Arabidopsis thaliana: one gene and its partners. The protein of the gene in region 2 interacts with the protein of the main gene of each other region in a pairwise test. Each region holds a gene or a part of one and is shown on either strand. Other genes may lie near its edges.

Region 1 (3,600 bases), on a different chromosome or scaffold from region 2:
CCGCTCCAAACCCAACGCCACCTCCATAGCAAACACCTGCCTGAACTGGTGGCGCCTGCTGATACCCTCCTCCTCCTGTCCTTTTAGCATAACCTGATGGGTCACCCACACCCATAGCTTGACCCGGGAATGAAGGATCACCGGTTCCTTGAAACACACCATAAAGCTGTTGCTGTGCAGCTGCGGGTATTACACTAGACGGGTTTTGGTTTTGGTTCGGGTTTGGATTAGGTTTAGGATTAGTGGGATGTTCTCTAACCACACCAGCCTTCACCAAGAAATCCTCAAGTGTCATCTCTCCAAAAGTCGGTTGTCTAGCCGCAGTCTCACCGCCGTTCTGAGCATTGTTCTGTCCATTACTACTACTACTACGTCCATTGCTGTCTCCTCCATTACCGCTACCACCACCTCTATGTATCTCAGACCAAACCTCATCAACAGTCTTCCTACAAAGCGGAGCTGGAAGTGTCAAAGAGCCTTGTCGAGGAAGACTAGACTCGTTCGCTATCCCTCTCTTATTGTTAGCATCTTCGTTGCCTCTAGAACCACCACTAAAGACACCAACACCACCCTCGCCTCCATTGTTATTGTTGTTGTTGAAACCATTGTGATTAGCCGGAACAGAATGTGAACCTGCAGCTGCTGCTGCTTGTTGTTGATTGTTATTATTCTCCTCTGCGTTCCAAATAGAGACAAGAAACTCGTCCATGTTCATGGACCCAAAGTTCTTGCCGTTCTCACATAAAGCATGTTGGAACTCGTCAAGGGTCAATGAGTAGATAGAGGATTGTCTTCCCAAAGAAGTAAACGGATGATTCTCACCACCACCTCCTCCATTATGTCTCGCTTGCGCCATGGACGACTCTACTTCTCGCTCTGACGTCAACTTCGTTTCTCTAGTTACCATTTAACAACTGCATCATATACACAACAATAACCATTTTTATATCTGTATTCACACAAACTATATTGAAATATGGATACCACCTAAACGACAATAACAATTTTGTCTCTTATATATTAAATTCATCGTATTATTTTGACCAAACTTCAGTTACTTGTCCCTGTTCAGCTATTCACGAAACTCACTTAATAGTTGTCCCTTATTCAACTATCACGAAAAAAGACAATTGAATTATTTGATAATTGATGCTCTCAAAGAATGAAATAAATTATTTTGGTAAAGTGGAGTTTAAATGACGTAAAAAATATTGAAATAACAAGAATGAAAGAAGGTAATTAAGTCGGTCCACGTGAAAATAAAGAAGAACGGTCCACATCGTGACAGCGACAAACGATACTAAAATTAGCAATAAATAAACTAATAATTTACTCTTCCAATAAAGTTTTCGTTACCAAAAGAGGAAAATATCTTAACCCACTCGTTTTCTTCTTAAAGCGAACTTATCAACACAAGATTTTTTTCCTCTTTAATCATTTATTAATACGGTTTTAAACAAAAGATAATCTAGAGCTTAACCTGATGATTAGTAAAATAAATTAATCATTAGCTTGGGTCATCATTATATCCGTCTATTACTAAGTATCACTTTACCACAAAGTTTAATATTTGGTAATACGCAGATAAGTAAGGACCAGAAAACGAAGACCTAAACTTATAAATAAAGAGATAGATTTATTTAACAGTCTTCTAATCCAAGATCTTGAAAAATTATAAAACAAGAAAAGTGTTAACCTGAAAATGAAATCTGTGTGTCTAAAAACCGGTGGCTTTGTGTTCCTCCGCCGCCGGAAAACTGAGAGAATCCGCTTCTTGTTATGGAGGTTCTCCTCCTTCACATAGTTTAAAAGCCGCCGGAGAATTTTGACTGAAAGGTTTTGAGAAAGAGAGAGATAAATGGGTAGGAGGCGGTAAAAGAGAGATTGATATTTATGTTCTCACCGTGAGAGTGTGGCGCGTGGGGTCTAAGAAGAGAGGCGTGAAGGTCAACATCTTTTGTCTAAAGTTATCTTTCGACCAATGGAATGCTAACTTAGACAGGTCCAGGTCCAGGCCCATGATCAGAGACAAAGAATCCGTTCGGCTGCGGACGACACGTGTCCTGCACGTGTCTCTCTTCTGTTTCTTGCAGTGTCTTCTCACAGGCTCGACACGTGTGACTTCGGCTACACAAATGTTTTTTTACGTCTAAAACTAGACATGATTTTCTCTCTTTTAAGCATATATAAGATAATAAGAACGTGAAATTTGGATTAGAAGAGCGAATTAAAGTGTGATCTTTTTTTACATATTGGTTCATGATTTGTTTTGTGAAATTGACGGATTAATTTGATTGATCAATACTGATTTACTTTGGTAAAAACATATTTAGGTTAGATTCAAGATGTTATGAAAGAAATAGTCAAAGTTTGTAAACACTTGTTTGTCGTTGAGCTTCTAGCTGGTGAAAGTAGACTTGTTAGATTTTGAATAGAATTACGTTTAGTGAGACAAAAACTTATTAAAGAATTAAAACAAATCAAAGTCGAGAAATTATCCTCTTCCTTTTTTACTTTTTTTTTCGAAGATATTTTATTTAACTTTGACAAAAAAAAAAAAACATGATTCCGAACTTCCATTGGGAGTGCACGTGGACTATTCACTGCATAAGGACTATCGAATTTTAAATGCTTAATTTATCAAGTGTTTCTAATAGCCAAAAAACTAAAAACAAAAATAAAAAAGATTATCCGACCTGCCGGAATCGAACCAGCGACCTAAAGATTACAGCAACTACTACAGTCTTCCGCTCTACCAACTGAGCTAAGGTCGGATTGATGCTAATTAGCCTAATGCGGTTTTATATAAACTTAACTATTAATTATCATATTGGCCTCTTTAGTTACTTTTTTCCTTTGATTGTTTTTAGACCATGCAAACACAAACACAAGTGGCCCATAATTCAATTAATACACCTAATTTTGTTCTGACACATCTCACAATTAATGGCTGTCTAAGCCTAATATTAAACTAGTTGACATTAGCCTAAAATTGGGTGATATACAGAAACAGCTTTTTGAGATGAATGCTGAGAATGTTTTACATAGGTACCAGAACTCTTTACTAATCACCCACAATATATATCAGCAACCAAGAGAAACTTGAGATTCTCATGAATCTCTCTGATCCCGGTTCAAAATATCATAGCAATGCATGTTACAAAACCAAAACTAGCCAACTTTTTGAGAGAGAAGACATCGTTTACTTCTTCACTCCATCATTGGTTAAGAGCGTTTTAACAATGTTATTAACCATACCTGGAGCAAACGGGAACAAATGCCCTGCTCCAGGAATCTCATGGTAATGGATCCATGGCAGCTTCTTCGCAATGTAACGTTGCAGAGTCACAGGGACAAGCACATCATCATCTCCCTGCCACAAGTGCACTGATCCTTCATTGTTCGGGAACAGATTCTCGAGCTCCATTGGATCGAACTCCCAAGTTCCAAATCCAACAATCATGTCACGGTGCAATGTCTCGTGTGTTCCTTGTTGCCTTATTTGTGCCTTCATAGAGACTTAGATTTGATAAATGCAAATAGGTAGGTGAAGAAAAAGAAGTCATGAAGAATGTTGTATATACCTCATGTTGGCTCCTT
Region 2 (3,833 bases):
AAAGTAAAAATGTAAAGAGCATGACAATATCATAAATACTCATGGGTTTATGGAAGTTCATTGCATTGTGCATGATGCTTGATTACCTTGCCATCATATTCTCTTCGAGAAAGGACCTCAGGTGCAATATATGCTGGAGTTCCAACTGTTGATTTGGGCCTAGAGTGCAGCAGAGAGGACTAAAAAAAAGAGAATAACAAATCACAAAAGAGGATCTCGTCGACAAGGGGGGAACTTGGATTTTTTTTTAGTGTCAGACCTTGGAATAACCAAAATCACAGATTTTCAGACGTGGAGCAGGACTTCCATCCAAGAGCGTATTCTCGAGCTTCAGATCTCTATGGCATATTTGCTGCAACAAAATAGTCAACACATGATTAAAAAAAAACGACTTCAAACAGCCAATGGATAAGTAAATTTTGCTTAAGTCATTGTCTCTACATTACCATAGCATGGCAATAGCTAACACCTGATATAAGCTGCTGGAAGAAATATCTCGCCTGGAAAAGAGAGAAAGGATTAGAACGTAGACCCTAACTGTTTAATGCCTGATACTAAATAAAAGGAGGTTCACATGTTTTCTCTTGTTCCCTTCCTCCTAATCTTTCCAAAGACCATGCAGATTATCCTAAATACTAGTAATTTCATATTCGCAAAAGCACAGCACAATTTTTCAAATGGCAAGCTCACCTCATCCTCACTAAATCTTCCAGCACTGCATATACGCTCGAATAGTTCACCACCAGCAGCATATTCCATGGCAATGGCAAGATGGGTTGGAGTCAACACCACCTATAAAATCCATAAACCCAACAAGGAATGCAAGATGAAAGATATAAGAGATTATCAACAAACTTTTTCATAGCAAGAACACCACCCATGTCAAGCAACAAGAAATTCACTAACCTCCTTGAACCGGATTATATTCGGATGGCGAAGTGATCTGTGATTAATGATCTCTCTTGCCACATTCTCATCAATCTGTATCAAAAAAAACAAACAAAGCAAATACTCATTGTACAAATCTTTTCAGGAAAAATATTACAACTACAAGATAACTAACGTTACGTTAAACACCCAATCAGCTAACGATAAGAAATTTACAAAAAAAAATCGACTCTTCTGCTTAATAGCAATTCATTCCAATTATGCATATCTGGGTATAGGATCACCAGCTCATGGAGAGCAATGAAAACACAAAAACAGAGAGGAATATACCTTAGGACCACGCTCGATGTACTTCATGGCAACAAGTTCCTTAGAGTTTTTGACCTTCATGAGCCTGGCAACTCCAAAATTCCCAGCACCTATGTCTTTCACCAGCTCGTACTTGTCCATTCTCGCTCGACAACCCTAATTCCAAACACACAAAACAGAAAGGAAAAACCCAAACAAAAAAAAAATCTCCAAAATTCTCGTTGAAATTCAAGTCCAGTTCTAGCAGCTAAGAATTTCACGTGAAAATGAAACAAGATTAAAAAAAAAAAAAACAGTATCCCAAAATCAAGGATGCGATTCCGAGATCTCGCGATTCGCAAAGAAAGTGGGAAAAAAAAAGGGAAAGAGATGACGATGGAAGGTTAATTTGAGATTTGGATTGGAGAGATTTCAAGCCTAAGCGAAGAATCAACTTTCTTTTTCTTTTTTTTTTCTTGTTGGAATTTTTCTTTTTTCTTTTTTGGGGTGAAATTAATAGAGAAATAATGATGAGAATGAAGAAGAATCTCCCCTGCCTAAACAAACTCCCATCATGTTTTTTTTTCCATTTATTTAATTAATACGAGATTTTTTAAAAGAAAGAGGGACCCACAAGTTTCCATGCGATCCATACATGTTTGTTTCCCTTGCTGATTCGAGTGTATAACTACGTTTTTTTTTGTCACCAACGCGCTTTTTTTCTCCCTAATTCAACACTTCAACTATACACTATTTACACGACACGAGTGGTCAGCAGCAAGCAAATTCGCCTTAGATTCTTTTGGTTCTATATAGAGAGAGTCATTGTCCATAAATCACATTTTTCTCTATGAAGATTGTCACTCAAACGTAACCTTTTAATGAATTTATGTCATGATTTTCATCTACTTTTAACATTTTTCAACATATATACAAAAAAAGAAGAAGTTATGTTCCCATGTGTGAGTGTATATTTTAATTGAAATGACATAGTTCGTGCGCGTATATGAAAACATTAATAGACCTTATATGGGCCGCTAAACTAATATACACTTGTTAGAACGAAAGGCCCAATCAATTAATAGAGCAAACATTAAAAGACCTTATATGGGTTTTAAACTTAATATACGTTTCTTAGTACTACAAGCCCAATTAATTAATAGAGCAAAAAAGAAGTTGTAAGCCTTATCGTTGTTTTTGTATTACCCAAAATCTCTACAAAGTGAAAACACTGAGCTGAGGATCTCGCTCTCTCTCGATTGGTATCTCTCGCTCCGTCCTTCCTCAGATCTGATCGTCCGCCGGTTTTCACGATGCCGTCTTCCTCCTCCGCCGCCGTCCTCGTGTTCCTTCTTCTCGTTTCCCTTCTCACTCCTACGTTCGCATCCGATTCAGATCACAAGGTAAGACTCGGATCTCCAGTCGTTTTTTCTTTTCTTTTAATGCAGCTCGAAATCGAGCACTGTGTCCGTAGATCCGTGATTTGCATGGTGTTTGCGATTGAATTTTTTTTCATGGATCTGTTCGTTTACGGATTGCTAGGATCCTCGAGCTTCTATTCATTGTGATTTAGGCGTATCTTTTCGTTGCAAGTCTAGGCGTATTTTGTCTATTCATTGTGATTTAGGCTTTTCACAATCTCGATTTTAATAAGAAATTTTGATGTTGGTTTGAGATTCTCGTTGATTTCTGCACGTGGTAGCCTGTTTGATGTTCAAATACTTGGATCAACACTGAGTTGTGTTGTAATTGAGTGGCATTTAATGTATTAGCATCTTCGAGATGTAGATCTTATAGTTCCGAGGTCGGGTTGATGATTTTTTTCAATTGGTATCTAAAATGTGATACTGAAAGTGTCACACATGGCTTCTTTTGCTGATGGTCAGTTTCAGCTCAAAATTGTTATTGCCTTTTGTGATATTGGAGATCATGAGATCTAGCTTTAATGCTTTTGCTCCTCTGCCTTCTTACGCTCGCAAGTAGTGTGACATTTAAAGTCGATTCCAACTATATATTTTCTGCGTGAAAGATGATAGATAAAGGCGGGTTATGCATTATTCAAGAGCAATCTGGTAGCATTATTCAAGAGCCATTATTTCTATGGAACCATCATTTGTGTGAAGACTTTAACTCCTGATTTTTGAAATGATATTGAACGTAGCCTTTATCAGTATCTGTCTGTCTACGTTTGACATTTTGTTCTGTTCTCTCTAATGGAATTTTGGTTCTTACTCTCTCTTACTAGTTAATCCCATAAACTTTTACATTTCTGTGCTTTTCTGTCAAGTCAATTTTTTTTGCCTTCACCTTTTTCAGTATCAAGCCGAGGAGCAGGTCACCCTATGGGTAAACAAAGTTGGCCCATATAACAATCCACAAGAAACATACAACTATTACAGTCTTCCATTTTGCCGCCCATCTGGAAACAATGTTCACAAATGGGGTGGTCTTGGTGAAGTTCTAGGTGGAAATGAGCTGATTGACAGTGAGATTGCGATAAAATTCATGAGTACGTTTCAATTCTTATACAAGCTTCTTTTTCATACTAGTTAACAGTTATCGTACATTCGTACTTATTCTCTAGTTACAATACCTTTTCTGTTTTTTCCACAGAGAATGTCGAGAGAAGTGTCATCTGTCCGCTTGAACTCGATGAA
Region 3 (3,833 bases), 7.4 Mb from region 2:
ATTCTTTTGTTTGCAAATTAGATGTAAATTGATATATTTGAGATTTGTATGAAAGCTAGTTTTATTTTCCCTAAACAAGAAGTTCATTATCTTGGACTTGGAGGTTTTAGAGTTTGAAAGAGTTTACAATTTATAAGAAAAAATAATCACTATATATATATATATAGTGTATATAATGAATTGTTTCACATTAAATTGCAACAACATCAAATAAGGGTAACATACTAACATATAGTTTGTTTGTTTACTCTTTAAAAAAAGGGGATAAACTAAGAGCTATTTCTGCTATAATTTAGGAACAAACTGGATCACATGACAAAAATGCATCATAATTCATATTAAATTTTGTGTATATCTATTTCTCATGTTTAGAAATAACATTCTTGTGTGTTATACATGTTATCAGTTTTTCTTCCTAGATGGAAGTTTTATTGTTGGAGTCTTTTAAAACCATACTCACTATGTTCCTCTTTATTTGATGTTTTGGATTTTAGATAGAAATTAATAAAAAATATGTTTTCTATTTTTATAAAATTATTTTTTTGTTAGTTTAGTAATTTTATTTTTCTTTTTTTATTATTAGTCACAAGCAAAAATAATAACAATATTTTTATAAAACATTAATTTTGGTCGAACAAGTAAAAATAACTCAAAACATCAAATAATTAGAAACTAAAAAAGTAGATATTGTCAAATTTTGTGTTGAGTTCGAATAAGATAATGTGGTCTCCTCCAACAAAATTATTTAGAATAAATGCACTTCTATGACATTAGAGAACCAACTAATTTATTTAGAATAAAACACACATATATATTAACATATAAAGTAATTCTAATTGGCTTGATATAATATATAAGTAAAAAAATGATCTTAATAATCTCTAGTTTTCTTGGGTTGATCTCCACGAGTACAATTTGACTGACCATTATAGAAGTTGAGAAGCGTGCATGTAATAAAAGTTGTATATTACAAATTAGAGAGGAAAAAGAAAGAAAGAAAAAAGATTTGAAGATGTGATCAAGTGTGAAAAGTATTGGAGTAGTCTCCAAATTAATAATTTCGATGCTGGGCATTGACAAGATAACTCTGAAGCTCTCAACTTTAAGACCATCACTTCCTCTGCCACCATTTTCACGTTTACCCAAACACACACATATACAAACAAAATTTTGTTAGTCAATAATTATCACCAAACTGGGGTTATAACAAGGCTTTTGGATACTTGTGCTTGTTGATGTTCTAGGTTCGTATGATAACAAAGTACATCCGTTATATATATTCGAAACACACTTTAATATTAAAAATATATATCCAATTTTCTTGTGAAATTTAGATTATTTGGAATTAAACCTATTTCTCTTGTCTTGGCCACTTGACCGGTTTAGTTTTTTAGACGTATTTTATTATTTCTGTTTAGAAAATAACAACATATATCAACTGATTTTTTACTTCCAATCTCTTTTTGTCAGCACACAAATAGAAAAACGTCTGTAAGCTAAGCTATCAACTAAAACATTAACATATATAATCTTTTACGTTGATAGAAAATAAACATAAATTTCTGAGTTATTTTTTTTTTGGTTGGTGTGTCACTACTTACTTACTACTATACCTTTTTAACAATAAAGAAACACTATTTCTTTTTCTATTCAATATAATATATGTTTTCTATTTGTATAAATCCATTACCTTTGTTTGTTTTATACCAAATGTTCTTTATATATAAGTATATGCCACCTTACTCTATTGAAGTCAAGAACATATCAAAAACCCATGCAAGAAGCTCACAGAGAAAGACCAAACACTTTTGTCTCTTTCTTCAAAACTTTTACATATGATCTTTGCCTCTTTTCCTACAATGGGTTTTGCATAACTTTCACCAAAACCCTCCTCAAAAGCCCTTCACATATTCCCAACACAAGAAAATAAACTCTAAATCCACTTTCACCAAATCTTTTCATTTTTCAGCTAAAATGGATTCAACTGTGTTCATCAATAACCCATCTTTAACCTTACCTTTCTCTTACACATTTACCAGTAGCAGCAACAGTAGCACAACAACGAGCACCACCACAGACTCAAGCTCCGGTCAATGGATGGACGGTCGGATTTGGAGCAAGCTACCACCTCCTCTTCTTGACCGCGTCATTGCTTTTCTTCCACCTCCGGCGTTTTTCCGGACACGTTGCGTCTGCAAGAGATTCTACAGTCTACTTTTCTCCAACACCTTCCTCGAGACATATCTACAACTACTTCCTCTCCGACACAACTGTTTCCTCTTCTTCAAACACAAAACCCTAAAGAGTTACATTTACAAGAGAGGAGGAACAAACGATGATGATTCCAATAAAGCTGAAGGCTTTTTGTTTGATCCTAATGAGATCCGATGGTACCGTCTCTCTTTTGCTTATATCCCTTCAGGGTTTTATCCTTCAGGATCATCAGGAGGGTTAGTGAGTTGGGTCTCCGAAGAAGCTGGTCTTAAAACCATTCTCTTGTGTAACCCTCTTGTCGGATCCGTGAGTCAGTTGCCACCAATATCAAGGCCAAGGCTTTTCCCTTCGATAGGTCTCTCGGTAACACCAACCTCTATTGATGTTACTGTCGCTGGAGATGATCTCATATCTCCTTACGCTGTGAAAAACCTCTCATCGGAGAGTTTCCATGTCGACGCCGGCGGATTCTTTTCCCTCTGGGCGATGACTTCTTCTTTGCCACGGCTTTGTAGCTTGGAATCTGGTAAGATGGTTTACGTGCAAGGCAAGTTTTACTGTATGAACTATAGCCCTTTTAGCGTTTTGTCCTATGAAGTTACTGGAAACCGGTGGATCAAGATTCAAGCTCCGATGAGGAGATTTCTCAGATCTCCAAGCTTGTTAGAGAGCAAAGGGAGGCTTATTCTTGTAGCAGCTGTTGAGAAAAGCAAGTTGAACGTTCCCAAAAGCCTACGACTTTGGAGTTTGCAACAAGATAACGCCACATGGGTCGAGATCGAACGGATGCCTCAGCCGCTCTACACACAGTTTGCAGCAGAAGAAGGTGGAAAAGGATTCGAGTGTGTCGGAAATCAAGAGTTTGTAATGATTGTGTTAAGAGGAACCTCGTTGCAGTTGCTGTTTGATATAGTGAGAAAAAGCTGGCTGTGGGTCCCACCGTGTCCTTACTCCGGCAGTGGTGGCGGTAGCTCAGGTGGCGGTTCAGACGGAGAGGTCTTGCAGGGTTTTGCTTATGACCCGGTGCTTACTACACCGGTGGTTAGTCTTCTTGATCAGTTAACACTTCCATTTCCTGGAGTCTGTTAGTTTTTAGACTTTAAGATAAAGAGACTACTTGTGGTTTCCACTTCTGACGTTAAGACTGCTTGTTGTTTTCTCAAAATTCTGTTTCTTTTATCTTATTACTGTCTGTATGTAGTAAGTTTATATTTCTAATGTCAAATGTCTAATCTTTGACAACATGTCAACAACATATACAGACAGATTTCTAATTGCGTACAATCCAATCCTAAATCCATCAAACTCAAAAACATAACCCTTGGGAGAATGGTTTCACTTGAGCTTAACCTGGAGAATGAGATGAACTTTGCGGTTCATTATTCTCCTGAGTTCTTCATTGGCCTCAATTCCTATCCTCCTGCAAAATTAGCATCAACATAAGATCATCCTTGAGTCATTGATTAGTCAAAAGAATGAATTATGAACGATCTTGTATGCTCTTACCCGATCTTGCAACCGCCCTTGCCTACAAGAATCTTGCGTTGGCTAAGTTTAGGAGTGATGAGATGCTGTTCAATTCTAAGAGACCCGTCACGCAGCTCTTTCCAGTCCACTAG

What was found.
Region 1: the proteins of SNRK2.4 (region 2) and ABI5 interact in binary tests that used the Arabidopsis thaliana proteins (3 or more experiments, as listed by UniProt).
Region 3: the proteins of SNRK2.4 (region 2) and UFO interact in binary tests that used the Arabidopsis thaliana proteins (3 or more experiments, as listed by UniProt).

What each region holds. Positions count from the first base shown.
Region 1 is NC_003071.7:15,205,665-15,209,264, forward strand, and holds the start of ABI5 (Basic-leucine zipper (bZIP) transcription factor family protein), read right to left. Parts: upstream 1,973-3,600; 5' UTR 1,697-1,972; intron 997-1,696; exon of another isoform or gene 915-996; 5' UTR 908-914; coding exon 1-907. Other genes in the region: AT2G36290 (alpha/beta-Hydrolases superfamily protein), read right to left, coding at 3,203-3,508, 3,585-3,600. UniProt on the Arabidopsis thaliana protein: Participates in ABA-regulated gene expression during seed development and subsequent vegetative stage by acting as the major mediator of ABA repression of growth.
Region 2 is NC_003070.9:3,656,833-3,660,665, forward strand, and holds the start of SNRK2.4 (Protein kinase superfamily protein), read right to left. Parts: upstream 1,777-3,833; 5' UTR 1,339-1,776; coding exon 1,219-1,338; intron 982-1,218; coding exon 907-981; intron 793-906; coding exon 691-792; intron 599-690; coding exon 575-598; intron 501-574; coding exon 447-500; intron 353-446; coding exon 260-352; intron 180-259; coding exon 87-179; intron 1-86. Other genes in the region: TMN1 (transmembrane nine 1), read left to right, coding at 2,490-2,579, 3,493-3,685, 3,790-3,833.
Region 3 is NC_003070.9:11,034,206-11,038,038, forward strand, and holds UFO (F-box family protein), read left to right. Parts: upstream 1-1,786; 5' UTR 1,787-1,974; coding exon 1,975-3,303; downstream 3,304-3,833. Other genes in the region: AT1G30960 (GTP-binding family protein), read right to left, coding at 3,550-3,634, 3,721-3,833. UniProt on the Arabidopsis thaliana protein: Component of SCF(ASK-cullin-F-box) E3 ubiquitin ligase complexes, which may mediate the ubiquitination and subsequent proteasomal degradation of target proteins. Considered as a meristem identity factor required for normal growth of the young floral meristem.